4 linked regions of the Tamandua tetradactyla genome follow. The protein of the gene in region 4 interacts with the protein of the main gene of each other region in a pairwise test. Links are inferred from orthologs where the notes say so. Each region holds a gene or a part of one and is shown on either strand. Other genes may lie near its edges.

Region 1 (7,171 bases), about 140 Mb from region 4:
CGTCTAGGCATTTAATTCCCTTAATTAGTTTATTCTGGAGATTGCTTTCACTTCTTTTACCTAGGGTTTTCTTGCTGGATGAATTTGTTGTCTGTCTGTTCTTTGACATTCAGTTCAGCTTTTTCTGGACCTCTAGCTTAGGTTTTTAACAGAGGAGATATTTTCAGTTCTTGCTTTCTTGTTTCTTGCCCTGCTTGTATGGTGCCTTCCCCCACCCCCCTCTTAGGAGGGTCTATGTAGGTATTACAGACCCCAGCTGGATTTTCCCAGACCAAACTGGCCTCCTATCAGGAGAAAAGAGTCACCTGCATCCGTTTTCCCTGAGGGTGAGCCCCAGCAGGTTGAAAGGCTTTCCTGTGAAGTCTCTGGACTCTGTTTTTCTTATCCTGCCAGTATGTGGCACTTGTCTGCCTGCAGGTCCCACCAGCATAAGATGATGCGGTACCTTTAACTTTGGCAGACTTTCCGTGCTGGGGGTGTGGTGGAGACAGAAGACAGGTTGTAGGCTGCTTTTAATGGCTTCAAATTACCAAGCCCTGGTGTCTGAATTCCTTGAGGGAGGGATTCCACCTGAGTTGGGCTTCACCCCTCCCCTGGGGAAGGCACGGGCTCCAGATGAGCCCTCAAACGAGCTTGTTTCTGCCTATGCCTGGGACAGTTGCAGCCTGAGAATCCCTTTGGAGAAACACAGCCAGATAAAGCTCTGTTTCTTTTTTTTTTTTTTTCCTGTCAGCCCTGCCCCCTTGGCGCCCAGGCAAAAATGAGTGTCCTCTGCTTTGACCAGGTTCACCTGAGCTGAGGGCCTTTTTTTAGTAGTCAGAATTTGTTAATTCCATAATTGGCATTTGGTTGGGCTCAGTCCCTGCTGCTGGTAAAGTCTCTTTCCTTTTCCCCTCTGGGAAGCTGCCTGTTGGGGAGTGGCACCAGCCGCCGCGGCTTGGGGAACTCATGGTTCTGGGGGGGCTCGCAGCCAGTCCAGCTGGTCCAGACTGGGGTACGCTGTGTGTCCAGTCACTGACGTGGCCCTAGGAGCTCTTCTGTACTGTTCCTGGTTATTTAGTAGTTTTCTGGAGGATGAACTAAAATGCGCACATTGCTAAGCCACCATCTTGGCCTGTAAGTCTATTTTATGTTTCTTCTTGGCTGTCACTAGTCTGAATGTTATATTCTCCTATCCCCTTTAGCTTCAGCTTCTTTGTGGTCTCAGATTCTACCTTTGGAGTCAGACTGCCTGGTTTTGACTCTCTGCTGCACCTTTATGAACTCTGTGACTATGGGCAAGTGACAGAATCTCTACGTTGCTACTTCTGCAGCAGTAAAATGGGAAGAAGAATAATACCTCTCACATATACTGTTGAAAGAATTAAGTAAATATGTGACACGTTTGGTTTATAGTATTTGATAAATGGGTGTCATTGTACCTGATGCCAGCATTTTTTCTCTTATACCATCACTGAGACTTTGCCAGTAAATTTATATGATCATGTCACAAATATTTTGTCTCCCATAATATATACAGGATATCCTGTGGCAGGTTCGTGACAATTACTGTTTAAGGGACTATGCCAACCAGTCAACTGAACTGACCAATGAACACTGGAAAAAACCAACCAATTTCTGGACTAAAAGGACCTATACCCCTATACAGTACAGTGAATGTGATAAAGACCCACATCACCCCAGACCCAGCAAGACCTGTTCCAGCATTCCAGGTTGCAGCTGGCTTTGGTCTGGGGCTACCAGCGAGGACTCTTCCTCTTCATTCTCCCCTGGGGGGACTTTGCCCCTGCTGCCACTGGATCAAGGCTCATCCAAACTCCCAGGTGGGGACAGTGGTCACAAAGCAGCTGCAGTTGTCCCCAGCTCTCTCACCTGCCTGTGGGAGTCATCCCTGACCACTGTGAGTCCAGAAGGAGCATCTAGTTTCAAAGTGTGGTCTCTGCACCAGTAGTGGCAGCATCCCCAGCAGTATCCCCAGGGGCTTATTAGATATGGAAATTATAAGCAGCATTGAGACCTACTGAATCTGGAAATTGCTGGGGAGCTCAGTAATCTGTGTTTGAACAAGTCCTCTAGGGGATTCTAATGTTTGCTAGTCCCGGACATGAAAAAACCTGGGTGCTAGTCTGTCTCTTCTACTGGGCAGAAAGGAGCCCAATTGATTTTCACACCACTACTTATTCAACATATATCTGTTTGTTGCTTGCTAATGGACTGGTACTGTAAGAGGCACATAGGTACAGCAGGGGACAAAATCAAGGCCCTGAGCTCATGGAGCTTACTTTCTGAGAGGAGTAGAAAGGTAACAGACCCATAACTGTGTATTAAGGAGTGGAAAGTGATAAAGAAAGTTAAAACAGGGTAAAAGATAGAGCATGAAACAAGAGAAGGGGTGGTAGGATAAAGCCCTGTAGGTATCTGGATAAAATGAGAGAGGCAAGTTTGGAGCAAATCTGAAAGAGGAAACTCCCAGAACGCCTTAAGGAAAATCTAGGACTTTAGATTTTCTGGCCTTCTAGGCTGCAGAGCTATGAGGGCTGACGTATTTTCTGGTCACCCTTACTCCTGTGACCCAGCACAAAGGAGGGTATGGTGTGGTCTCCAAGGATGCCCACTTTGGCAGGCCTCCGATTCCAACTCTTGTATGCCTAGACCCTGGGTAAAAGCTTTTTAAGCACATTTTTCCTTTTACTTGACACTGTCAAATTGCTCTTTCTAATAACTGTACCTATTTACATTCCTACAACCTGGGTACGAGTTCTCATTGCTTCACATCTTCATCAACCCTTGATATTTTGAGTTTTTAGTTTTGTCAAACTGAGGCAGGTTAGACAGGGAAGAAAGGAGGAAGTGACCCTAAATCCCTTAACAAAAAATTCCTTTTGGCGCACATACCCAGGCCCTCCCCCCACCCTCATCCCCTCCCCCCCACCCCCCATCCCCCAGTCAGGTCAGCAACTGAAAATAACCAATGAAAAGTGCAGCGCATCAATCCCTTATTAGCATAGCCAGAGGGTAAAGGGCCCCTGCAAGTCTTTGTAATGCAAGGATCCCGAACTCAGACTGCTTTTCCTTTGGAGAATTCCCACACTCATCTAGCTTCTACCTTCACTATACATTAAAGTTTTGAGGTGTACACACTGGCTAGTCTTTGGATTCTTTCATTGTACACAATGACCGGTCCTTGAGTTCTTTCCTACAGCTGAGTTTCCTGTGGCCAAGTCAAGAAACTTCATGGCGTCAGTTCCTGGTCCGGGTCTAGACTTCTCTGAGAAATGTCGCAACTCTCTGGCATCAAGCAGAGAATTCCTGGAGCTCTATGTCATCTAGCCTAGAACTCCTGGGGTTCTCTGGCGTTGAGCTATTAAGCTATTTGGCTGTACACACTGACAAGTCCTTAAATTCTTTCCTGTGATTGAGTCAAGAACCCTCATGGTGCCCGCCCTTGGTTGAAGTCTCCATTTTTCCAAGAACTCTGTGTGTGTGTGTGTGTGTGGGGGGGGGGTTCCCATTCAAAACAGTTGGATAAAATGTAAGGAATGACCATCTAACTGCTCTCACTCCCTTCGATATTGCCTCTCTAACTCCACATTTCTCACAGCTGACAGAATGTGCCATTACCTGCCACTTGAGGGGTGCTCAGTAAATTATCATGGAATGAAGTCACTTCCCTGCTTAAAATCCTTTAATACCTTCCCAAGTCTTGAGGAGGAACGCCATTTTTGATATTACAATAATCACTTACTCATCTTTATATCCCTAGAATCTAATACAGGATTTGGAAAGTATCTTGCAGGCGGCACTAAATCGACATTTTCTTAAAAAAAATTAATGAATAAACTACACGGGGTAGTTTACTCTGCGATGCACGCCTTTCATTAGTTTACTTCACACACGGAATTATAATGTATCAAACATATGTCCACATACACGTACATTGTGCAGTCTGTAGCCTCAGCATCCATATCAGTGCGTGGCACACAGCAGGAACCAAATACATACTTTCTAGAATCGATTCAGAACTAAATTCTACTCGGCAGCGGCTTAAGAGAAGCGCAAAGACACAGGCGCAGTGACGCGATGAAGCGACCCAATCTTCTCGCCCAACCAGACGCTGCCGCGGAGAGGCAGTGCGCAGGCGCAGCAGTCTCGTCACGATTGGCTGCGTCGAGGCGGGAGCCTTGAGTTCCTCAGGTGGGGAGGGGTTCGCTGCCTACCCGCGGCTGGAGTACGCTGGACTCCGGGTTGTGTTGATTTCTCGCGGGTGAGTCTCTGGATGGGAGGCTGCGACAGCCTGTGAGCTTCTTCGGGTTCTGTGCGTGGAGAGGTGCCGCTCAGCCCCCCCCCCCCCCAAAGCAGGCAGACAGGAGGCAGGATTCGGGCTAGGCTGTCTCTGCTGCCGGGTCTGGAGCGGCCGCGACCTGAAATGTGAAGGCCTTGCCCGCGGCCGACTGGGGGAATGGAAGAGCGGTTTGTGGTGGGGAGGCCGCCGAGAGAGGACGTTCCGGGTTGTGGTGCTCTGTCCACTGGTGCTTGCTTGCTCTGGGGTGCAGGCGCGCAGGGCGTGTGGGTTTTTTCTCCCAGGAATAACCTGTGCCCTCCTGTACTGTGAAACTAGTTCCTCAGGGCCTGGACGTGAAGGCTCTGAGTGCCCTGGATGGTAATAAGTCATGCAAACGATGCATAAGATTTAGCAGCTTCTCTAGGGGCTTCTACCGCTTCACTGGTCAGCGCTTTTTAATGATTAAAAAAAAAATTGTTTATTTTATGGAGGATTTTGTAAGCTACACCAGGACTGCACAAAGGACCAACTTAGCCTTCAAGTAAAATAACTACTATCTAACGTAGTTGCAAGGTGAAAAACAGAAACAAGACATCTGTTGCTGGTTCTTAATGGTGTTTTATTTGCATTCTTTCATCTTACAGGAGAGATTGTTGCACCCTTCCCCTTCAGAGCCTAAACAAAGCTCTAGTTTCTGGTTATGATCCTCTTTGTTGAAGTACATCCTTTACTATACCCCCTTCACAGACCTCCACCACCTCTACTAATAGGACCTTAGTATTAAACACCTAATAATAATAATAATAGATAGTGATATTACAGATATCAATGAGTGTGTGTCAGGCTCTTTTCTAAGTGTTTTACATAGGTCGTTTGATCCAACAATCCTATGAGTAAGTATGATTATTGTACTGCCTTTTGAAGACGAGGAAACAGGCACAAAGAGGTTAATGAAATCGTTCAAGATATTGCTAGGAAGCATTAGTCCAAATTTATATTTAGGTAATAGCCTCCAAAGTGTTGCTTTTAATTACTCCACTTTAATGTCAAGAACTTCATACTTTCTGATGTGTTGTAACTATTAGCGTGCTGCCATATTCCTTGGAAGCACAGAAGCTGGTAGATGTTGGTCTATTGCTGTCAAAGTAGGGCTGCCACATGCCCTTTATTTCCAGAGCCTGGGAAAAGAGCCCAAATAGCAAGAAGGGTGCTGAAGTATTTAAGGGGAAATGTACATATGTCTACAGTTTACTTTGAAATGTGTTGGCAAATAGATTGATGGATGCCAAAGATCATATAGCTAGTAAGTGACAAAGCTAGAATTCAAGCCCAGGCATGCTGGCTCCAGAGTCTGTTTTCTTAATGACCGCTCGCATTTGTCTACATTCTCAAATACATTATTTATTATTATTGTTTAAATTTTTTTTATTGTATAATATACAAAGCAAAAAAAGAAAAATCAATAGTTTTCAAAGCACTCTTTCAACAAGTAGTTACAGGACAGATCCTAGAGTTTGTCATCGGCTACCATATGATCTGCTCAGATTTTCCCTTCTAGCTGCTCCAGAATCTAGGAGGCTAGAAGACATAAATATTTTTTTATCATCACAATTGACTTTTTTTTTCTTTTTTGTGAAAAATAACATATATATAAAAATGCAATAAATTTCGAAGCACAGTGCAGTTGGTTGTAGGACATATTTCAGAGTTTGGTATAGGTTACGATTCCACAATTTTAGGTTTTTACTTTTAGCTGCTGCAAGATACTGGAGACTAAAAGAGATATCAGTTTAATGATTCAACAATCATGTTCATTTGTTAAATCCTATCTTTTCTATCTAACTCCACCATCACCTTTGATCTTTCTTGTTTGAGCTATGGCCATTCTAAATTTTTCATGTTGTAAGGGTCTGTCACTAATATGGAGATGGAATTATCTATGTTCTGGAGAGGCTGGGCCCTCTAGGTTTCAGGACGTATCTAGTCCAGGGACCCATCTGGAGGTCATAGGTTTCTGGAAAGTTATACTAGTGCATGGAACCCTTGTGGAATCTACATATTGCCCTAGGTGTTCTGTAGGATTGACTGGAATGGTCCTGGTTGGGGTGGCAAGTTATAATAGGTAGCAATGTCTAACTGAAGCTTGTGTAAGAGCAACCTCCAGAGTAGCCTCTTGACTCTATCAAATACATTATTTTAAAACTAGTTTGTGCTCTCAAATTAATTATTTTTAAATAGACACTCAAATGCCTACATTCTCGTATGCCTACATCCTCAAATATATTATTTTTAAAACTAGTTTATAGGATACATTTATCTTGTAGAATGTGTACAGGGTAGAAAAAATAGAAATCATGTATTGGGTGTAGAAGGGTTTAGGATGCTGATTTGATGTTGAAAGAAATCTTAGCCACCTACTCGTTCTCTTTACCAGTGAGGGAATTGGGGTCCTGAGACTAAATAGCTTGCCCAAAGTTAAGCACCCTTTAAGTAGCAGAATCAGAATTAGACTTAGGTTTCCTTTATTTCTACAGTGGACTTTTCTAGCTACTCTTATTTGTCTAGAATTTTAGTATCCTAGCTACCAAAACAAATAGCATATAATGGGGTGGCTTAACAACAGCAATTTTTTGGATCATGGTTTCTGAGTCTTAGAAGGCTTGATTCCTCCTGGGGTTAATATCTTCTGGCCTCTTAGCAGTCTTGTGGTTCCTTGGCTTTTTTATCATATGACAATGATCATAGAGGCATTTTCTCCTCTCTCTTCCGAGTTTTGCTGATTCTAGCTTTGGGCTGCTCCCTATGAATTCTCTTTCTGTGGCCTTCCCCATAAGGCCACCAGTAATAGGATTAAGGCCCATTCTGATTTACTTATGTGTAGGTAATATT
Region 2 (7,845 bases), on a different chromosome or scaffold from region 4:
CTGTTTGTTCTTCACGAGCACCGGGGTATATTTAAGCAAAGAAAGACATTCCAGCACTCTCCTGAGACTTCCTTCCTTCAGCTGAATTATACCAACATGTTCACGCTGCTGTGGTTCAGCTGTGTTGGAATTTAAAATGCAGACTTCTATTTGCCCATGCTTAAATGCCAAGGCTATAAACATTCATATTAGGCTTGAAACTGGCTTTTAGGTAGCATAGAACAAGTGGGAGTGTGTCCAAAAAAAACGTGGGTACGTTAAGTTGCAGTAGAATACTTGCAAAAAGGGACTGCCCTTGTTGGACAGACTCTATGCCTATACAATAAAGTCTCAAAGTCTCCAGAAGTCACCTGGCTTTGGATTAGGTTTCAAATCCGGGCTCACTGACATTCATGAAACTTTTGGCAAACACGGGCCAAGTTTCGGGCAAGGGCGGGCAGAATACTTCTTTCATAGGGAGGCTGTGTGAAACCCGGTGGCTTTCGTTAGGTTTCACCTTGAGTTTCACATTCAAACAATCCAAAGTTTCAAGGTAAAATTAAGGGATGAAAAGAAATGGGGGGGTGGGAGTGGACAGGAAAGAAATGGCCATCTACCATCTTCCAAACCGATTCCACCCTAGTGCCACCTGACTCTGCAACTGAATTTGCATTACCTTTCAGCAACACATGTGCCCCAAGCACTTGCCAGAGGAGGAATTCCCAGTACTACAGTAGGGTGGGGTTGGGGCGCGGGGGAACTCTTGGAGATTCCCAAAGGCTTGGGAACATTAAGAAACATGCTTAAAATAGCTGGAGGATATGAAATGATGACTGCACACAGAAATAGGATGATTCATATGCTCCTTTTAATGTGGATTTGAAGGGGAAAAAGTAGTAATTAAATGGCCAATGTTGGGAATAAACTATTAGCCTGAATAGCTCTAGGTTTTCTTACTCTTAATCGGAATCCTTACAGATGAAGTCGCATCTTCTCCTAATCTGGAGGAGCTCTCCAAGTGTTTTCCATTGCTCTGCCCTTTTGAAAATTGTCCTGCTGCCACTTGCTTCTTTCCTTCCTAGCAAGGCGGTCTCAGCCTTTAGGGAGCCACAGCCCTTGACTAGTGCTTAAAAAGTCTCCTGATGGGATTAAGTTCATTCTATTCCTAACCCTCAACTCAACATGCAGGGACAGTTGGCCAAGGAATATCAACCTTGGTATCTGACTGAGGGCTTTAGAAATACTCTGTGCTTGGGATAGGGAAGAAAAGGCAAAAAACTTAAATGCAGTATATACATGAATTTTCTTTGAAATGAAGAGGACATTTAAACATCGACAGAATGCCTAGATGGTATTACATTTTGCTATTTTAGGAAATACTTTTGTTTTTCCATCCCCTTACCCTCATACAACAGACGTTCCACCAGTTGTATGAGTTTTTCTCTTTAGTTGTCCTTTTTTTAAAATTTAATTTTCTTTTCTCTCTCTTTTCCTTTCTTTTTGTCACCCCAGAGATCGCTGTTTATTTTAAATGCATGTTTTCTTTTGACATGTGGTCTGTGAGACCAACAAATTTTTTCGGAGAGAAAGTCTTTGAATTCCAAGGGTTTCAGTGTTCATGTTAGAATATGCAACAGTTAGGCCTCAAGGCACACAGTAATTTGGGGGTAGCAGAACATTCAAATGAAGGGTTGATAAAATCTCATTCTGTGCACTGTCATTTGCTGCCTGCTTTTAGACATCTGTTTGGTGTGGAGCAGTGAGTTGTTTTAAAGTCTCTTTGGCAAGAGAATCATCTTGCCATAAAACAGTATTTTCCCTTTCATCTGGGGGCAACTATCAGTAAAACTTAAAGTTGTATCAGTAAGCAGTGAGGAAAACCAAAACCCCAACAAATAATTTAAAGGAAATACTATCAAAGCACTAACCTCCTCCCCACTAAATAAAAAGACTTTTTTACTGAACATAGTAAATACCCACAATCAAAGTAAATGCTGTGTTTGAAGTTAAAGTCCACAGATCAAAGTCCTTCGCAAAATGTCAAAGCACAAGTGTAATGAAGGGGAAAGAGGAGGCACAGAAAACGTTGGAAAATGTCATATTGTCACATTAGAGAAACCTGCCTGCGAACCTAACTGGCAAAAGAAATGCAGCTTAGATAAGGAATTCTTAAAACAGAGACACCTAAATTATGCTAGGCATATACCAAACAGAAAGTGCTCTAATTCCAAAATAGCAATTCACACAACAGTGACGATAAAAGAGAACAAAATATAATACAGCTATCTGGTCCTGAGAGAACAATCACTCCTATATTTCCTTTACTCAGGTGGTTGTATGTTTTTATTTTTTCAAATGCCTTTAGAACATTAAAAATCAGTAAGCAGCCTAAACAACAAAACGATGTCTGAAAAGCCCTCTTACTACCCTGGCACTCAGGTGTCATTAGAGTTTTGATCCTTTGCTGGGTCACAGTCACGTCTGCATGGCAGGTCAATATCATGAAAAACTTTAAGCAAAGTTTAGTTACAGCTACAAAAGTCCACAGATGCTGTTCCTATATTCAGGCATACAGTGTTCACCTGGAAATCGATGGCAGCCCCGGGCTTATTTTCAGCCTAAATAAGTTATTTAAAAACATGTGTCACAAATATACCATAAACCAATGAAAGAATTCCAGCATAAAACTCTTACCTACAAGCAGCTGGAGCTGAACAGTTGCTCTCAACAGAGGAAGTAGGAGTCACTGGCCTTTTACATGTAGAGATTGTTTATTTAGCCCTTTTTAAAAGGTCTTGAACTCCAAAGGTTTAAGATTAAGTCCGATCCAAGTGTCTGAAGGGAAAAAAAGGCAAGAGAGAAGGCAAATAAGAGGGGGAGAGAATCCCAGCTGCTGGGTGGTGCTACTGTTCCGAGAGCATTTAAGCTATTTTCAGCATTAACAGCAGCCGGACTTGTCTGTGAAGGGATGAAAATGCGGTGCCGGCCCAATAGCCTCTCCACCCACCCCAACCCCCTGGAGCGGGGAGGTACAAACCAGGAAACCCACAACAACTTGGTTCATTGTGCAAATATTCATTTAAATTTTGAGGAAAAGTGCCAGCACTATTGGGAAAAAAAGAAAAAAAAACTTTACCGGAATCTTAAAGAAACACAGCTCCTTGCCATAATGCCAAGTTTTGCAAAAATGATTTACCTGATTCATGGAAAAGAAGATGCTATAGTTATACCTTATTGAGAGTGAAGACCTTTCTTCTGATATGTATTTGCTTGTTTATATGGGTTTTAAAAACATTTTAAGTCTCTCTGGTTGGAATGGCCATTGTCAGCCTGTTCTTCTTAAGACTGAAGACAAATGGTTTATTTCTAGCACTCAGCTAAATCTCCAGTTTCATCAACTACGCTATTTTTGAAAGCTACTAGGTTAAGCTGTTGACATTTCTTATCGTGCTGGCAGAGGCTGGGGACCACTCTGTGACACGATGCTGACAGAACTGATCTCCAGTCTGCCTCCAAAGGCCAATGAAGAACTAATTTAGATTGGGTCACCAACTCTGGCCAGAAAACTCTGAGCTTTAATTTTGTTTTTAGAATGAAAAAATAAAGATCCAGAAGTTGAATGCATTCATTCATTCATCCAGCAAATATTTATGTGGTGGGCACGGCTGTCCTTATTATAAGCCAGGCATTTTGAAAATACAATAGTGAGCAAACAGCTTTTTTTTTTTTGCCTCTGGAGGTTTACAGCACACAAACACAACAAGAATAAAAAATGAAAAACAGGGTTTCCTTTTTTTTTGACAAACTTTCGCAACCTCATGTTCACAAGATGAGACTATTCAAACCCTTGTACAGGAAGATCCGATGTGTCATCAGAGCGATTCCTACCTTCCATGACTTCATTATGCCTTTGAGAACACCACTAAGAAGGAAAATTAGTTATTTCCTACCAAAGAATCACTTAATATTTTTGATAAAGGCATTTATTCCATGCAGATAAAAATCTCTGAATCATTTCAATTCCCTAATCCTCATAACAAGAGGATGATGTTTAAGGCAGTTCAAAGCATGGCTGAGGAAGTGAAACATTCTCTAATCTAAATCCAATATAAAAACTGCCTTGAAATATTTTATAATCATTATTATGGAGGCTAGTTACTGGATGCTCATATTGACTCTACTTTCTTCCTTGCAATTTCAGAAAGATACTGGAGTTGAATATAGAAAATATTGAGGATTACACATGACATGTAAAAGGGTTACATGACTATTTCAAGTACTGTAGTAAAATAGTGAAATCTTTCAACCCAATACACCTTATATTAAAACCATGCAGCTATTTAAATATATATATATATATAAAACGATAGCGTAACTTTGAAATACCCAATCAAATTTTAAAGTAAATCTGCTTTACCTAAAAAAAAATGCTTATTTTTTAAAAAGTCACTGTAGTATTATGCAATAGTCTGTTCATTTACCTTTCTTTCCTTTTTTTTTTTTTAACATGGGCAGGCACCGGAAATCGAACCCAGCTCTCCAGCATGGCAGGAGACAACTCTGCCTGCTGAGCCACCGTGGCCTGCCCTGTTCACTTGCTTTTAATAGTTGCATTTTAATTTCTTAAATACCTGCCAGTTTAAAATCTGATATTTATTTTACTTGACCACAATGTTAAATGGTAATACTGCTGGCAAAAATTGGAAAAGTCAAGCATCAGATAGAGAAAAAATTGTTTTTATTTTCACCTCCTTAGAATAATTTATAATAAGAAGGAAACACACTTTAAACTTGGCCTTCCTTAAGAAACTAGTTAACTAAACAAAGATTAACTATTTGATTACTAAGTCAACCATTATTTTTAAATTCTTAACTGCCAGCTTCTCACATCATTCCTAAAGGGAAGCCCATTTGCCTCACATTACCTTTTTAAATCATAGTCTGTCAAAGTCTGCACTTGCAAGGACAGGTTATAAGCCTGACATTTGTGTTCACTTAGGAGGAATCCTCTCCTGCCGGGTGACTCACTGAGGTCTCCTTTGTTCCCTTAGGATCCCAGACTGTCCAGGCAGCCTGTAAATAAGCCCCTTTCAACAGATGTCACTGAAGGGTGCAGGTTGGACTTTAGAAAATTAAAGGACACTAAATTTTGACTCTTGCTACTTTCCCAATTCCTGTAACTTCTTATCTTATAAGCTATTGATATCTTAATAATTGTAACTCATGGTAATGATTTTGTTAATATTCTTTTTATTAAAAACAAATAAATTGATTCAAATTAATTAGGAAATGCTGATATACATATTTTAAAATTTTCATTTATTTATTGATTTTTAACTTTTTCTCTCGTATAGTACAATATATATAGAAAGCAAAGAAACAAAAAAGCAACAGTTTTTTTTTTTCAAGGTCAGGAATTGGGAACATTTAATTAACAAAATACCTGCCATCTATTTTCAAAACCCATTCTGTTCTATCAGTCACAAAGCCAAATGGTGCAGAGGGCAGGAAATATATGTAAGATTTGCAATACTGTACCCTGCATTGTCATTGAGCTATATTATACAAAGATCTTCCAGTTTGATTGTGGGAAAACATGCAAAACAAATGAAGACAAAGCACATTTTATACCATTCATCTAGCTTATGTTAAATGACAAGCTGTTTGCACAAATGTCCATCAGATGAGAATATAGGCTGTTGTACTGAAGTAAAATGAGCAATACCTGAATGTTTTGTAGTCTAAACTCCACACATCTCTTCCATATCTGTTGACCAGGCAAACTGCACCAGTTGCTGCTTCAATTTATACCTCAATCTTTACTGTGTCCAGTTGGTATTTTGGCTTATTGGCTAAATTAACCTTCTCTGTCCGAGTGTGCCACACGAGAACCTTGGTGCAGTTATAAAGTAGCAGTTTTCAAAGCACTCCTCAACATGCAGCCACAGGACAGATCCAAGAGTCCACCATGGGCTACCACATGATCCTCCCAAAATGCTGATATTGGAGTGGGTTTCTAATATTACTGACAGATTGGAAATATGGCTTTGGCACAACCCCACCCCCATAGAAGATGGGGATAATAATAAGGTTGCAGTGGGGCTTAAACCATGCATGTAAAATGCCTAGCTGAGTAATGCCTGCCACATACAAGCACTGGATAAATTTGAATTTTTATCACTATTGTAAGTCTAGAACTCTGCTGGCCAATACGTGGCTATCTGTGTGTTGAGCATTTAACAATGTGCCTAGTCAGAACATAGAGGCACGTAAGTGTAATAATACGCACAATGAATTTTGAAGACAGTATGGAAAAGGAAACGTGAATAATCACATTAATTTTTTTTTTTTTTGCATGGGCAGGCTCCGGGAATCGAACCCAGGTCTCCGGCTTGGCAGGCAAGAATTTTGCCACTGAGCCACCATTGCACCGCCCCACATTAATTTTTAAAGATTAACTACCTGTTGAAATAATAATACTTTGGACATTCTGAGTTAAAATATTTTATGAGGAGTAATGTTAAAAAATTTAATACCACTCATTTCTTTTAAATGGCACTACTAGAAGATGTAAATACATGTGTATGGTTTGCGTTACATTTCTTTTGGGCAGCTATGTAAGCCAAAGACTCTGCAACCTTAGTGACATCGGAGTGACCTGGAGGTCTGTAGAAGCACAGGTTGCTGGGTCCCACCTCCTGGGTTTCTGATTCAGTAGGTCTGGAGACTTGAGTGGCTTGAAAATGTGCATTTCTAGCAAGTTCCCAGGAGATGCTTGAGCACACTTGGAGAACCATTAGTCTTAAGCCTTGTTGCTTAAGGCTTAAGTGTTTCACAGAGCAACATTAATGGCACCTGGGGTCCTGTTAGAAATGCAGAATCCTGAGGCCCCACCTGGACCTAATGAATCAGTAGCTGCATTTTAACAAGACTCCCAGGCTATGCGTCTGCACATGACAATTTTGGAGAAACGGAAACCAGCATCTTTCAACTCTGGTACGTAAGAGAATCATCTGGAGAACAAAAAAGACCAGTACGTTGGGCCTACCCATGGAGATTTTGATTTAATAGATCTGGAGGAGATCCAAGCATTTGCATATTTAAAAGTTTCCCCAGGTGATTCTAAGATAAAAGCAAGAGCTGACAGTTTGATGGCAGTGAGGCAGAACCGATACAGAAGAAACAGGGTCTGGAAACCAGACACACTCCTTCTAGTGAGGGTCAGACGCTTGGGGTTTGTCAGGTGCTGGGAGGGCAGGACAGGTGCCGGCGGTGGAGATGGTGGAAACCCGCAAGGGGCGATGAATGGGCATTGTAGCCAGCAGGACGTGCGTGGTAGCAGACACTAAAGGTCGTTTGAGGTCTGCCAGTAGGTCCCCAGCTGCTCCAGGTCTGGAGTTTCAGGGAAGGTTGGCTAAAGCAGAGCATAGTCTTGGCACCAGAGGATCCAGAACGTTAGGTAAATTATCTGAGCAGAGACACAGGTTCCAAGGAATCAGACAGAGTCTGGTCCAAGTTAACGGTGAGACCAGCCACCATGTTAACTTCGTCCTAAATTTCCTGAGTTTCTTAAGCTTTCCATAAGAACCATCTAGAGCAGGGATGATCCTTCAGACAGAGATGAAGAAGGAAAAGATGGATGGAAATGTTGAAAGCCAGTTTAGTTGTACACTTCTCTTCTTCAGTTGTACACAACAACAACTGAAACTGTTTTGAGCTAAGCATTGGTCTAATTAAAATATGGTTAAAAAAGACCTTAACCCTCTGGTATTTTCATCACACGAGAAGATCTTCTTGATCCAAATAACAAGGTGGTTGGCTCATGGACGTCCTGTATTGTCAAGGCAAGAGACCTTCTGTTATTTT
Region 3 (7,569 bases), on a different chromosome or scaffold from region 4:
ACACCCAAGAAAGAGAGGACAGTGTTCCTGCTTCACCTTTAATGGCTGCTTGTGCCATTCATTTAAAGGAATTCACTAAATTTACATAACTTACTAAACATTATGGGCTAGTATGAAAATAAACATTGGAAAATGATAGTTTTCATAATCCTATAAGGGTTCAGGTTGAATTTTAAGATGGTAATTGAAAATTCAGTTACATTTCTGCTATTTACTTTTGTTCTTGAGGACAGAGTATACACCAAACCTCTTCAGTCTTTATAATGTTGCTAGAGCCCCACCCCACAGTCAGCCTGATCTTAGAGGATTCTCTATACACTCCTAATTCCCAGCCACCAGGCCTACCAAGGTGTTGTGGCTATTAGGACAAATGCCTCCTCTTTTTAAGAAGGTCATTTGCATTTTTATAGATATTCAAGATGGGAGACAAGGGTTTCCCACTCTTCACTGGAAGACTGAAATTTGGGCATTGTAACTTGCAAGTAAAAGGCATTTTCGTAGAAGAAAACTTGATTGACAAAATGAGCTAGGATTTCGAGGAGAAAGAGCACACTGTTCAGAATAATTTCAGCTGTATTCAAGTGTGAAAATTACATGGGATGTGGAACAGTAGAAGCCTCATGAAATCCCCTTGTATCCTTCAAGGCAGTCAGAGGTGACAACGTGAAAATTAAGACTGAGGTTTAGGAAAGTTGAAGTTGAGGAACTTCAGGGTGGATGCCTGGAATAATCTCAGTCAAGTATGAGAAGGATCACTGGAAGAAGGCTGAGTGCAGAAGGGACTTGAGAAGAGCAGAAACAGGACAGGTTTGGTAAAAGTATTCCAGATCATGTGCTAGCAAATCACCCTACTTGATTATGGAAGGGATTTGGGGAGTCAGTGAGGACCCAGCCAAGACTAGACAGTCTGAACCTTTAGAAGAACTAAATGATTTTGTAACTTTTTCCAGCAATGCTTGGTAGTACAGGAGCAAGTTGAAAAGAAACCATTCAATGGAATGTAACAATTACAAAAAAAATGTTGAGTGACAACTTAATTTCAGGCAACATTATTCATGGTGGATTTTATTAACATTTTAATCATTTAAAATATGAAGTACACAGTATCAAAATACTCAACAAACCTGTGATCTTAGATAAAGACAAACAGAAAAGATGATGTAAGTAAAAAAATTAATCAACTATTTTCTGCTTGTTAGCCTAAGGGAAGAGAAAAATAAATACCCATTTTCTCTTTGTATTAGACACATTTTCCATTTACTTAGTGTTATTAAAACCCAAATCATTGCTATTCTGTCAGTACATTAAAATGTATCTTATTTATAAAAAACTGCATTTTATTTTTTCTATTCTCTAAACACAGAGAGAGAGAGAGAGAGAGAGAGAGAGAGAGAGAGAGAGAGAGAGAGAGAGAGAGAAAGACAGAAGAAACAAAAGCATGAGTTAATTTCCATGATGGCATGGCATGAGACAATACTTCCTGGCCCCTGCTGATCCCTTCCCAATTCTTGAAAAGGGCGGGAGAACATTCACATGTTCAACTGATTTATTCCTTGGTTCAACCTTGTACAGAATTGCTAAATTCAGATTCAACTACAAATTGTGGAGAGTTGTTTTCCTCAGACAAGGTACTGTATTAACACACTTTATCTTGGATTATATTTTTGTAGTCTTAAATTACAGTAAGATAGAAACAGTAGCAAATAATATCCCCTGGTTCAAAATTCAGGACAGTAGTTAAAATATGTAACTGATGTCTAACTTACACATACATTAATCTTTTTCTCTCAATAAAATGTTTCTTATTTACAAAAGCCTGTCAGTTTTTTACAGAGTGTGGTCCTTCCAACAGGACAGAAACTAACATAAGCATAGTCTTGTTACTAAAGAGATTAATATAAAAATGGCAAAATCACCAAAAGAAGGAACCTAAGAATATCTGTAGCTATATGCTGGAGCAATATATTGCTTAAAAAAGCCTAATAAAGTCATGAAGTCCCATTTTAATAGGTGGTATCTAATTATGAACATTATTTTTAAAAATGATATTGAAAAATTAGCACAGTAACTTTAAATGAAGGAAGTAAAGGACTTGGTATGAAGTCTCAAAATTTCTGATTCAATGCCTCGGGTCATTTAAGAAAAATCAAATTTAGAGATAAACTGAAAAAATCCACAAAACAAAATCCATATAACCATAATCTATTTTTTTTTCTTTTTGTAAAATAGTCAGAAGGCAGGAAGAATTGACTGTGTCATCTGTCTTTTCCCAACCTGTAACCTCTTAGGGGAAAAAACATGCACCTGCCAAGCTCATGATGCAGAATGCACACACAGCTGGGTGTTTAACAATCTTTCAGTGAGAAAATTAAAGGTTTGTGTTTGGGGAAACCAGAAAAGGTGTGCTCACCCTTTGGCACCAACACACAATTTCAGGAGCCACCCTGTTTCCTTATCAAAATGGTGTCCAAAGTAAATCCTCTTTTGAGTGTCCTTTAGATATTCTATAAGTTTGAAGACCCAAAATTTGGAAGCAAGATTCTCCCCCAGGGAAGGGGGCGTGGTCGGGAATAAGTGGAATTCAGGTAGATCACTGATATCAGAAGGAAGCATCAATTTAAGGGATGAGGTGCAAACTCACCTGGAGAAGCAGAAGCTGCACAAGAGTCAAAGGTCAAAGAGTATAACCTCAGGGTCTACCAAGGCCCAAGAGAAGTGAAATGCCCGCTTCTGGGCTCTCAGCCTCAAGGATACGTATAGCGGTTCCCAGTGCCTGCCTTTGACGTCCGGGACAAACCCTACCATGCACGGTAGAGGGTGACAGGGAGGCAAAGCATTACCTAGCCAGATTTCTGAGCCTTTGCCCGGAATTCCCCTCCACTACTTTACCTCACCCCTTCCCTTGCCTGAGACACCTTCACCTCACTCCACCTTCTCCAGGCCCTCTTGCTCTTAACAGCATCGGTCTCTATGGCAACCTGAAACCGCAGCTCCCATTGGCCTGTTCAATATGAGGGCCGGGCCAATGGGAGGGCCAGTCTTCTTCTCCCGACCAATAGGGCTGGCGGGGAGCCTGTCCGGAGACGGCAGCGTGCTGACGTTCCCGGGAGCCCGGGGCCGGCTGGGCAGGCGGGCTGGTGGCTGGGCGGGCGACGGCGGCGGCGGCCTCTGGGCAGTAGAGGGGGCTCCGGGGCTGAGTCCGTGTCGACGCCGGCCGCGGAGACGGCACCATGGGCACTGGGTAGAGGGGCAAGTTGGCCACCGCCGCCGCCGGGGGTGGTGGGAGAGCCTCTCCGGGGCAGGGGGCGGGTGGGGGAGGGAGGGGCGGGCACCCGCGCGGCCACTGCACTTTTGTAATTTTTTCGGGTGCCGCAGCGGCGACCACTCCGCGCTTATGTCTCTGACCCCCGGAGCGACGACGGCCGCTGCTTAACCTGGAAAGTAAGTGTGCGGGCTCGCGGGCGGGCGCGGAGACTCCTGCCCTCGAGAGTCCGGGTCCTCGCCCCCTCAAGCCGGAGCCGGGACCTGCCTCCCAGGGCGCGGAGGGGGACGGCGCTTCCCTCCCGTTACTCCATCCCCACCGCCTCCCGGCCGCCTCGGCTTTCCTGCCCCGCCTCGTGTTCCTGCCCGCACTCGCCTGCCTACTCCCCTCCCCCCGGCGAGCGCACAAGTTTCACCCTCCATTTGCTTTTCTCCGCGATTACTCTCCCCGGCTCTCCCTGCATACCGCGCACGACCCTTCCCCACGTTGGCCTTTTAGGTTCCAGAGTCCCTACCTCCGAACTTGGTCGCGGTGCCGGCTCTCTCCCGGACCTGTAATTCGGCAGCTTCCCCGCTCCCGCCCTCCTGGCTCGCCACCCCGCGCCCCCGGCACCCCGGGGCGCCTTCCTTCCTCAGCTCAGGGGCCGTCTCTTGATCCCTCTTATCCTGTATACCGCAACCTGGCCCCCTCCACATCCTCCCACGCCCCTGCTGCCTGCACGGCCTCGGGTTTGCCCCTTGTCCGGCACTCCTATCCACCACCCCACCACCCCCTCTGTCCACTAAGCCCCACTCTCCTGCCGCGCGTCCTCACGCTCCACCCCTCCTGGTTCCTCAGCCCTGAGTCTCCCCGGCTGCTCTTCTGCGCCGCCGCTTCCCCCTCTCCTTGCCAAGAGTTAGAGCAGAGCTGCGGCACCCCTCTGGTGGATCGGGTGTCCCTACCCACCGCTCTGGCGGCCCGCCCTCTGCCTTTCCCCCCTACTCGGGGAGCCAGGGGGCGGGCAGCGGGGCCGGGATTTGGCTGCGTGTTGGCGGAGTGCGACAAACAGCGAGCGCGGGCGCTGGAGGCGCCGCGGCAGCCGCGGGGCGCAGCAGTAGGCAGGTGTGTGTGTCCGGGGGGGGTGGGGTAGGGGAATGAGGCCGCGGACTCCTCGGCTGGCGACACATTGTGCAGGAATGCAAGGAATGCACCAGGGGCAGAGTCCTCTCGGCCTGCCGCGGCTTCTCTAGTGCCTTCCCGGCCCAGCTCTAGTCACGCTGCCAGAGGTCACCGGAGCATCTTCGGAGCTGGTGAGGCTCGCTCAGTTCCTCTCCTCCTTTTGCCTCGTTCCATGCGGCAGAGAGGGCGGCGCGGGGGAAGCGCGGCAGATCTGCTGGGCACCACTGGCCTTTCGACTGGGTCTTTGCTGCATTGGTCTCCAGGTCCGTGGATTTGCGTCTGATGGTGATGTAGCCAAGGTTATTGATCATTGCACAAGGCTTTTTTCTAAGTTTGGTTTACAAGGTTTCGATAGTGCCTCGTTTTTAGGAGGTTTTTCTGAAAACCTGCAGGAACGAGGGGCCGAAGGTTCCTGGAGTGATGAGGTTGCATGTAGCCAACATGTTTCAGCTCTATCAAAGAATATCAGTTAGTGCTCGTGAACGGGGGTGTACTGCAACAGAGATCTTGTATGCATCACTTTGCTGTCATAGGAATTGTAATTTTCTTTTTTACTTGTCATACTGGACTGTGGTTAGACCTCATATAATACATAATGAATAGAAACAGAGAAGCAGTGTTTGGTCAGCGATGGGACAGATAGAACTGTCTGGTACAGTTAAATTCAGGGCGTGTCAATTACCATTAGAAGTAACTCAGGGACACCACAACCACGTCCATTTCAAGATGTAATTTATTAGTGGGGTTGCAGCTCTTTCTCTTTTTGATACTGAGTTTGGCTGCAAAAATAAATGCAGCCCTACAACTTTAAAGGAATGGTAATTCACTTATGTGTAAAATCGATTATGATTAATATCTATTTTTGGTCAAATTTTATTTTCCTTAATAAAGAAAAGCAGAGTTTTGGCAGATGATGTTTCTTAAGAATTGGACTTATATTCTTGCATTTTAAAAAGAAAAGTAGAAGTGTTTCTCTTTTTTAGTGTAGTTATGTTGTTAAAGAAATATCTTCATTTTTGGTGCCTGACAAATAGTTGTGGATAATGACAACAGGACAATGAGAACATATGGCCACAATAAATATTATAAGATGTTGGAGAAGCATACTTTGTGTGCTTTTATCTGACACAGTTTGCTTTGAAAATTAAGTATACTCTAAGACCTTCTGCACATGGTTATTTTGTATCAGATTCAGGAAAATAAGTCGGTTGTCCATCAAGTCAGCTGTTTTCCGACATCTACTTTGTGTGAATCACAGGCATTGAAGAGATGAGAGTCTTTTAGTAAAAGATCCAAGAGAAAGAAAAATAGAGGAAAAAATTTTTCTGCTAGAGGAAAAATTGTGTATTTTGATTGCTGCATTGTTGTCTAGGTATATCCTTCATCAGTGGACTTTTCTAATTTAGAAGCTTAATTTGTGTCCAATAACACTGTGGAGATATTGGGAGATTTTGTAAATGCCAATAGGAAACTTTTATTATGCAACAGTATCATATTACAGTAGAGTCTAACACATGCTTATTTAACTGGATGTGAAGATTAGAAAGTAAAAGCAAATTTAGTTTCTCTGCTGCATTAAAAATTGAAATAACCATTTATTTATATGGATATTGTATATACATGATTGGTTGCACACATAGTTTTACCTGCTTCAGAAACCTTTTGGTTAGAAATATAGCACACAAAAGTTGCAGGCCTATTTTTATAGGTTAGGGTCATTTTATTTTGTTTGTTACAGATATTTGAAGAGAGGAAGTTTTTAATCTGATTATCCTTCACAATTGAAAATAGTATAAACTATATTTTGACCAAAGTACATTCCATCCCCACTCTGCCCCGACTTTATAAAAGGAGAGTGTGCTGCATTTGGTGTCATAAATGTTATACTAATGATTATAAAGTGGGGAAACCTATATCCAGTTATCTTAATTTTTACCTATACTGTTTTTAGATTGAAATAAGGAAGAAGAGGTTGTGATGGAAAGCATAAGAGAGGGGAAGAAGAAACTAACAGCAGCTTATATACCATCAGTAAAGCAAATCATGTACATTATTGCTGCATTTATATGCTGAATAAACAAAACTAAATTCTGTGAATGGCTCTAGCATAATTTAAATTTAAAGAAACTACTAAACTTAGTTTACTAAAACTTTAGCAATTGTATGGCCTTAAGTATTTGGATTAAGTCTTATATTAAATCAGAATTGTAATTTTCTTTTCTGAGCTATATAAATTGAAAAAGTAGTTTAATTTAAAATTTTGAAAACTCACTTAAATTGATTTTTAAAATCAAATTATTGCTAATTTTTAAACTGAGTAATTTCCATATTGTTGACCAGAGATCGACTTAAATAGGGAGTGTTCCTACCCTGGATGATGCCAACCATCAGGTAAGTCCAGTCCCTTACCTGAATGTTAGAAATATTAAGAAACTCTATAATATAATGGTTTTTTTTTTTTCCTATTTTGGTCAAGCTGTAAGACCCTACCTTGTTTAATTCTGAAATGAATACTTTATTTTCAGTCTTAATTGGAAGAGAAAGTGAGATTATTGTGGGGTTATTTCAGAGCACAAATATCCATGGAATTTTTTGCCACTTTAGGAAGTTGCCTTCACGCCTTCAGGTACATTGGGAGATAATTATACCTTCACTGTGTTAAACAGTTTTGTAGTACCCTTCCTGCAAGGACGTAAAACGTAACACCAGTGGACTAGAAATATTTGGAGTATTAAATAATGGTCTCGAGGCCAAACTGTGGCTACACATAGCTGCAAATAGAGAAAAGGAAGTAAAACTTTAAGGATACTTGCATCTAGGGCTTGGAATGCTGTCAGTAAGTGATGATAGCAGTTGGCAGATCTTTTAGATGCCAGTGGTTAGAAATGACAGTGTTCTTTCAGGGTGAGAATATCAGGCCCCAAGTCACAGAGAGAACAGCTATCCAGGTGCTTGCTGGTCTCAGGTAAAAGGTTACACAACTTTCAGATTTTTCTCAATTCGTTAATTTAATAGTTGAGCGAAAGTATCGAAATCTTTTGGGGCTATGTTAGCATTATTAATTTGGGGATGTTACATATTATTTAGGAGATGCTTTTCAATTGAGTTATCTGTAGACATTCAGTTTGTCATTGGCCTAAATTGTTTTT
Region 4 (7,823 bases):
GAAAATAAGAAAGCATCTATATAACGATTCAGTAACCACAGTCATTTGTTAACTCTTAAATCTTGGTTATAGGTATATATTACCTGAGAGAAATGTATACCTGTAACATGTTCTCACAAAAGCATATACACAAATGTGCATAGACGACTTAGTCACAATAGCCAAAAGTTGTAAACAATCCATGTGTCCATCTGGTTTATACATACAAAAGATAATTATTTAGCCATAAAAAGTAAGGAGTATGTGCTACATGGATGGACCTCGAAAACATTATGCTAAGTGAAAAGCTGAAACTTACGCTAAGTGAAATAAATCAGTTATAAAAGGACACATACTGTATGATTCTATTTATATGAAATGTCATGAATAGGCAAATCCATAGGGAAAGAAAAAGGGTTGGCAGTTATCTAGGGCTGGAGAAAGGGGGGATTTGGGACAACATCCAAAGGATACAGGGTTTCTTGGGTGGGGGGTTGATGAAAACATTCGAAAATTATGGTGATGGCTGCATAATTCTGTGAATACACTAAAACCCACTAAATTGTCTACTTTCAATGGGGATATTACATGGTCCATCAATTATATCACAATAAAGCTGTTAGAAAAAAATTCTTCAGGCCACATGTATTTGTGCAGCAATTAATGTAAATGGGCTAAATGACTAAACACACTCTATTTTCCAAATGGTTCTTGCATCTACCGCTGGGATTGGCAAACTTGTTTCTGTAAACAGCCAGACAGTAAATATTTCAGGCGTTTCAGGCTATCCCATCTGCTGCAACTACTCAACTCCACTGTGGTGGTGAAAGCGGCTACAGACCATCTAAACAAATGAGGGTGGTTATGTTTCAATAAAACTTCATTGAAAAAAAACAGGCTGCAGGGCTGAACCCCTTATCTCCAGGATGTCCCTCAATCCACACAACCACTCTACGAGAAAGGCAGGAACAGGTCTTGCCTCTGAGGCCCAAGACACAGCTAAATGACTTGTTCAGGTGACAGCCAGGCCGTAAGTGGTGAAAAACAGCCTGGACTGCACCGCGTCTGCACTCAGCACTCCTGAACGCCTCCCACCCAAGCAGTCAAGGGTATTTGCCAGGCCACAAGCATCCTCAAGTAGGTCTCCTCTCCAACATCTCAATGGCTCTTGCCAAAATGCCCCCTCTCCTTTGGAAAACCTCCAGCGACAAGCCCAGTCCTCAGGGGCCAAGCTCAATCTCCTTGCCAGTCGAAGCCTTCATCGAGAAGCAGAGACTCTCCCATCCGGTAAGGTCTTTGCAGAGCATGCAGCGGCCTGATACTAGGCACCCCTCTCCCACACTACCTCATTCATTCATTCAATTTTTTTTCCACATATGACCACCTCCCATGCGCCAGGTACTGCCAAAAGCCTCCACGACTGTGTCTGCAGCGGAAAGGAAAAGGAGAGAGCAGATCAGTTGCCACCGTGATGGAACGTGAGCAGTTACTAACCAACACGAACTCCCGGCTTTTGTCAACTTGAGAAACTCCGGCTTGTGTCCCCTTTGCTCATGCTGTGCCTCTCTGGGATGCCCTTCCTCCTTCCTGTTTACTGCTTCTCATGGGCCACTCCAGGCCCATGAGATACATGGATGAAGCCTCCACTCCCTGCTACATCCAATCCCCTCCCCCATTTGGATAAAATTCTTTTACCTAGGAGCCAAAAGGGTCCAGAGAAAACTAAGTCCTTTAACTTAAAGAGGAAGATGAGCCCCAAAGAGAGCAGTCACATGCCCAAGATCACACAGCACTCCAGCATTAGAACCAGACTTACATTCCTGCCACAGTGCCTCAAACTGCCTGGGGTGGTTTGGATTTCTGAGAGCAGGTTGTGACAGCAAGGTCCCTCACACCAGGCTCACTGTCACCTCTGGACGTGTTCTAGCTACCTAACACTCTTCCTCCTCCTCTTCACCCAACTCCTACTCATCCATCAAGGCCCAACTTTAATGCCCTATTACTCACGACTCTTTCTAGATCCTGAGCACCCCCAACATGGGAATCAGGGCGTCTCTGTGTTGTCGCAGCTTCTTTGTATTATAACTTCCTATTTAATCAGAACAGTATAATCTTCTGCACTTGACAATGAACATTCTCAAGGTGGACCACACCTGTCTTGAAACCACTGCACACCCTACCTCCGGCATAAAGCAACTAAGGGAAGGGAAGGAGAGTGTCACTACTCTTTATTCACTAAAATGAGATCCTCCCACCCAAAAACCTCTCCCCAGCAGGAGGGAAAGGGCCAAACCGTTCTTCAAGGCCTCACTCATCAAGGGCGGAGGGGGAAAGTGTCGGTATGTGTGTGTGTGTGGGGGGGGGGGGCCAGGCAGGCCAACCTTTGCCCTCCACGACCTCTCTAAGTCTGCAGCGTGACCCTGGTGAAGTCCCGATTCAGAACCCGAATCTCTCCGTCCGAAACCTGGGATCACACCAGCTTGCGCTGCTAAGGAGACGAAAGCCGTGAGCTTTGAGAAAAAACGCCCGGGCCGAGCGGCAATGACCGTCTAGGGCTGACACACCCGGGCGCCCTCCGGCCCGCTCTGCCCTAGTCTGGGCTTCGCTTTCCGGGTCTGCACAGGACCCTACCTGGGTACCCACCCTGCATGGCTGAACTCCTCAGCCCACCTTAGCCCGGCTCGGGCCCTGGCCAAAACGGAACGGACCCTGGCCTCACCTGTCGGGGGCGCGTAGGCCCGGGCCGGAGGCAAATGGTTTGGCCCCGACCCCAGGGAGGCCGCGAGGCCACGCGGGGGCCCGCTCAGGAGGCGGCGCCCCCAGCCCCGCAGCCGGAGGCAGCTCCGCCACATGGCTCCCGAGGGCCTGGGGCGACGCGCGGCGCGAAGCCGGAGAGCAGGAAACACCGAGCGAAGGAATCCCCGAATCGCGCCGTCGGGCCGTACGAGAACTCCCCTCGCAGCCTCCACGGATTCCTCAGCGTCCCCGGGACGCCGTCACCTTCCGCGTGACGCCAACGGCGCGCCGACGCTCCCGCGCGCCTCCGGCGCACGCCCCCCGTCAATCAGCATCACAAACGCGCCTGGCCCCGCCCCACCACGCCGCGCCTCGGCAGGAAGACTACAAGTCCCAGAGGGCCGCTCGCGCACCCTGCCACGTGTTTCCTCCGCCCGCCAATGGGCGGGAGCGCCGGCTGAGCCTGTTCCTGCCCCCCGGCGCGCCCGCACCAATCGGAAGGACTGGTGTGAGTGAGTGAGAGTGTGTGTGTGTGTGTGTGTGTGTGTGTGTGTGTGTGTCTGTGTGTATGTGTGTGTGTGTGCGAGGGCAAGTGAGGAGGGGATCCAGCGCCGGACGGGGAGGCCCAGCTCGCAGATCCCGGGGTCCCGGGGCTGCCGGAGCGTTGGTCCGCAGGCAGTGGGCGGGTGACCCCTCCCCACCCGCCCCCGCCGCGCGCGTGCGCGCCCCGCCCCGCCCTCCCCGCCGCGCTCCTCGGCTCCCGCGCGGCGGCGGCCGTTCCTCTCCCCTCCCCCCAGCCCTGGCTCCCGGGGACCCCGCGATGCCGGTCCGCACCGAGTGCCCCCCGCCGGCCGGTGCCGCGGCCGCCTCGGCGGCCTCGCTTATCCCGCCGCCGCCCATCAACACGCAGCAGCCTGGCGTGGCCACCAGCCTGCTCTACAGCGGCTCCAAGTTCCGCGGCCACCAGAAGAGCAAGGGGAACTCGTACGACGTGGAGGTGGTGCTGCAGGTGAGCGCCGGGCCGGCTGGCCGGGCCCGAGGGCCTCCTCGCGGCGTTCACGGGCCGGAGCCGGGCCCCGGGGCCTCGAGCCCGCGGCCGCCGACCAGGCCGGGCCGCCGGGGCCTGCTGCACCCGCCGCAGCTCACCCGGGACCGGCCCCGCTGGCGCCTCAAACTCCGCGAGCCGCGGCCCGACCTGTCCCCGCGGGCCCGGGGCTTCCGCGACCGGCTCCCGGCACTCCCTGAGCCTTCCGCCGGACCTGGCTCCCCGGCACCCGACCCCCACGGGATCCGGAGCCCCCCCATGACTGCCCCACTCCGGCCTGGCCGCTCCTTCTTCTTGACTTGTCTCCTCTGGAGTAGCCCCTGCCCATCCCTCTCGGGGGTCCCCCCACAGGCTAGGCCCATGCCAGATTCTCCCAGACTTGAAACAGGCCCCCCTTCTCAGTCCCAGGGATCCCCCAAGATCAGGGCAGCCCCCCCTCGAAAAAGTGTGGTCAGCCCTCCTACCTGGGAGTCCCTTCATTCCGTTAGCTCCCAGGAGTCCCCACCCACAGCTGAGTCCCCAGACCGTGCCCCCCTCCCCTCAAGACCAGCCCCTCGCACCCTGGGAGCCGCCCAGTGGGGCTCCTCACAGCCTGTTAGCATCTTGCCTCTTGCGTCCCCCGCGGTACCACCCACAGTTCCAGCCTCTGCATGCTCCCAGCACCCGGCTCCTCGCAGCTGCCCCCACCCCCAGGCCTCCTGTCCTAGGGTTCGCCCACTCCCTGCCCCCCCTGCTCTGGCTACTTCCAGTGTCCCAGGGCTCTCCCCCCAGACCTCCCCACCCCATACCTTCATCTTCCTCATTCCTTGCTCCAGGGAGCCCTCTTTTCTGTGTTCTTAACTTTTATCTGCACCGGCACAGGGCTTCCTCCTAGTCTCTGATACCCGCGGGCTGGGAAATCCAACTCACCCAGTTCTGTGTCTCACATGGATATTTCCTTTCTGTGTCCATCCACCTCCCCCTACCTGACCTGGATCTCGAGTACCTGCTGCCAGGCCGGACCAGGCTTTGGGGCTACAATGCCACCTGCCCTGGCCCGTCCAGCACCTCTCCCCTCCCACACAAGCGGTAGCACACATGACATTTTTCCCCAGCCCAAGGAGGTTGGTGGTGTGAATACCCCTTTTTATCTTTCCTCCCCACAAAACCATTTTTCCTCCATGCCTGCTCCTGCCTACCTTGAAACCCACTTTTCTCCCTCCCTCTGCCCCTTTTTCCTTAGCCAGACGCCCCACCTCCTAGGCTGTTCCCCCAAAGCCTCTCCAAACAGTGGTCCTCCCTGGAAATCCTACAGAGAGTTTCATAGTCCACGTGTGAAGCCTGACAGCTTCTGTGTGCAGGGAGAGAATAGAGGACGTGTCCCCTCCTTGCAGCCCTCCTCAGTCTTCTTTTATTTTAAATCCTAAACCGCTTCTCTTCTGAACAGACAGGTCTCCCAGCAAAGTCAGTGGGGGGACGTTTTTCTTCCTGCTAACTGTAGCTCTTTTATCACTTTCCATTTCACACTGTTCCATGGAAATAAGTAACTTTCTTCTCTTTTTTTTGGACCAGGAGGACTGCATCCTCATGTTAATTCTATCTTGGTCTGTAAACTCCAGGCTCTAACGTGAGCTGTGATCTCATTGTAATTGAGAAACTACTGGGCTGAGGTAGTTCAGTTCTTCAAAATGATATGTCTAATGCAGTGATTCCCCTTTGCTTTCGCTTGATATGTGAAATGTAGTGTGAAGGTGAGGGCTTTATCTTTTTGCAGCTAAACATGAAATCCTGGAAGTGAGATCCCTGTTTGGACCACATTTGGGATGAGCTTGAATTTGTGTGCTTTTTTAATTGGATGGTTTCCAGTGCTGTAGGGACAACCAGTGGGGTAGGTAGCTAAGTGTCAGAGGAGGGTCTGCCCGGCAGCCTGCAGGAACTGCTCTCGTCTGTCGTTAATGTATAATATTCCTGAACTCACGTCAAGTGCCAAGTTTCCCTTGAGCCAAGTTGAAGGTGTGACTGAGCTGCTGAGTTTGTAGAATCTGATGTTTGGAGAAACTTCTGCACTGCTGATAGGTCTCAGGACAGCCCAGAGGAAAAGCCTGGCCAAGTGCTAGAAGCCGCATGAGTGGGGTGGCTGATGGGGGCGGAGAGACAGTCATGCCAAGGAATGCCGCCCTCCATCCGGCTTCAGCGGCTGCTTGGTCACCCCAGGGACTCATCAGCGGCACGGGAATTGCTCCATCATCTGGTTTTTCAGCCAGGACTAGTTTCTTCGACTCAGCCTTCTTAGACTACTTCTGCCTTTTGTAAGGCAGCCACTTTCTTTCCCTTCCTTTCTTCCTTCTTTTCTTCCTTTTCACAGCTTTATTGAGATAGAATCCACATACCATACAATCCATCCATTTGAAGTGTACAATTCAGTGGTTTTAAGTATTTTCACCGAGTTGTGCAGCCATCACTGCAATCTAATTTTAGCACATTTTCATCATCCTGAAGGAAGCCTTATGCCCCTTAGCTTTCACCCCCCAACTCCAGCTACCACTAATCTACTTTTTGTATTTTAGATTCGCCTATTCAGGACATTTTTTAAAAGCAGAATTATACAATATGTGGTCTTTTATGACTGGCTTCTTTCACTTAGCATCAGTATTTGATTCCTTGGCCAAATGATAGCTGTTGTATGGCTGGACCTCAGTATTTGTCTCTTCATCAGAAATGGTCATTTGGGTTGCTCATTACAAACCATGCTGCTGTGAACATTCGTCTGGAAGCTTTTGGGTGGCCATGTGTTTCATTTCCCTTGGAATTGTTGGATCGAGTGGTAACTCTGCTTACCATCTTGAGGACTTACCAGGCCGTTTTCCCCAGTAGCTGCACTGTTTCCCATTCCCACCTGCAGTGCACGAGGGTTCCAGCTGCTCCACGTCGTCGCCACGACTTATTATCATCTCCCTTTTTGCTTAGAGCTGTCCTAAGGCATGTGAGGTGCAGGTCTCGTGGTGGTTTTGATCTGCATTTCCCTGATGCTCATGCCGAATGTCCTTTCAAGTGCTTGTTGGCGTACTTTCTCTTTTGAGATTCCAGTTGGAGTTCCTTAACCTTTGAGAGCTTCCAACTGGGGGTCTTTTTTTTTAATTGCTGTGACTCTTCCTGCTCTTCCAAAAAGCCGAGAGTAGATGTAGCCCCAGGTCACTGGGAAAGGAATATTAAAAAGAGCAGCTGTTGACCACAGCTGTGCAGCGAGACCTGCTTGCTCAACATTCACCTTGTTCTCTTTCCCGTTGAGATGCCATCCTGTCTTTGCATGTGGCATGTCTGACTTTACCGGCCATTGCCGAGGTCACTTTGGACAGAGAGGGAGAAATGCGTGGTTGAATCGAGGCCAAACTGAAATTCTGATTCTTGAGCATGTGATAATCCATGCAAAATGTTAGCCTCTTTACAGTTCAGTTTTTTGTCGTATTATCAAGCCTCCTTGTTACCTGATGCCCTTCCAGCTGCCGTGAAACCCCAAACTAGGTTGAGTTCAGTGAGGAGTGCGTACGTGAAATTGAGGGCCCCGGGTTGGAGCTGTGCGTCCTTGAATAGAGTTCTTGCCTGAACGTCCTTGGATAGAGTTCTTGGTGTAGATCAGCTGCTTCAGGTGACATCCAGTGCCCAGGTCAGCGTAGGAGGACGCTTACTGTTTGGCACATGGAACGCCTTCACCAGCACCAAACTGGGGGGGCACTTGAGCTCCATTGAAGCTGGTTTGCTTCAGTGCTAATGTCATCTGGCTAAATTCACCAGGGTTGGTAAAGGGGGGGGGGGGCGCCTAAGGATTTGATTTATGGTATAATTGAAAGTAGTTGGATCCCAAATCTGATAAATGCCATAAAACTTTGTTAGCTTTCTGGAAACAAGTTCTCAGCTCATGTAAAAATCTCTGCTACATACCTTTGGATTTTGGTTTGCTTGGTATTGTGATCTTTAGCTTTGTCGGTTAATCTAATTGCCATGAAATCTCAAAATCTACCTATTTGGGGTGAATTTGTGTAGTTGTAGGGTAAGATGTGCTAGTCAATATGCCCATTTGAAGATA

What was found.
Region 1: the proteins of ATPAF2 (region 4) and RAD54B interact in a two-hybrid assay, tested with the Homo sapiens proteins (2 studies listed by BioGRID). The two-hybrid records come from large-scale screens. The link is inferred for Tamandua tetradactyla from reciprocal best matches to the Homo sapiens genes ATPAF2 and RAD54B.
Region 2: the proteins of ATPAF2 (region 4) and SORBS2 interact in binary tests that used the Homo sapiens proteins (3 or more experiments, as listed by UniProt). The two-hybrid records come from large-scale screens. The link is inferred for Tamandua tetradactyla from reciprocal best matches to the Homo sapiens genes ATPAF2 and SORBS2.
Region 3: the proteins of ATPAF2 (region 4) and PKP4 interact in binary tests that used the Homo sapiens proteins (3 or more experiments, as listed by UniProt). The two-hybrid records come from large-scale screens. The link is inferred for Tamandua tetradactyla from reciprocal best matches to the Homo sapiens genes ATPAF2 and PKP4.

The regions. Positions count from the first base shown.
Region 1 is NC_135332.1:137,865,613-137,872,783, reverse strand, and holds the start of RAD54B (DNA repair and recombination protein RAD54B), read left to right. Parts: upstream 1-4,155; 5' UTR 4,156-4,264; intron 4,265-7,171. UniProt on the Homo sapiens protein: Involved in DNA repair and mitotic recombination. May play an active role in recombination processes in concert with other members of the RAD52 epistasis group.
Region 2 is NC_135352.1:26,657,342-26,665,186, reverse strand, and holds the start of SORBS2 (sorbin and SH3 domain-containing protein 2), read right to left. Parts: upstream 3,010-7,845; 5' UTR 2,674-3,009; intron 1-2,673. UniProt on the Homo sapiens protein: Adapter protein that plays a role in the assembling of signaling complexes, being a link between ABL kinases and actin cytoskeleton. Can form complex with ABL1 and CBL, thus promoting ubiquitination and degradation of ABL1.
Region 3 is NC_135329.1:128,877,228-128,884,796, forward strand, and holds the start of PKP4 (plakophilin-4), read left to right. Parts: upstream 1-4,563; 5' UTR 4,564-4,592; coding exon 4,593-4,683; intron 4,684-7,569. UniProt on the Homo sapiens protein: Plays a role as a regulator of Rho activity during cytokinesis. May play a role in junctional plaques.
Region 4 is NC_135332.1:1,682,871-1,690,693, forward strand, and holds the start of ATPAF2 (ATP synthase mitochondrial F1 complex assembly factor 2), read right to left. Parts: upstream 3,003-7,823; 5' UTR 2,832-3,002; coding exon 2,699-2,831; intron 1-2,698. Other genes in the region: GID4 (glucose-induced degradation protein 4 homolog), read left to right, coding at 3,536-3,724. UniProt on the Homo sapiens protein: Plays a role in the assembly of the F1 component of the mitochondrial ATP synthase (ATPase).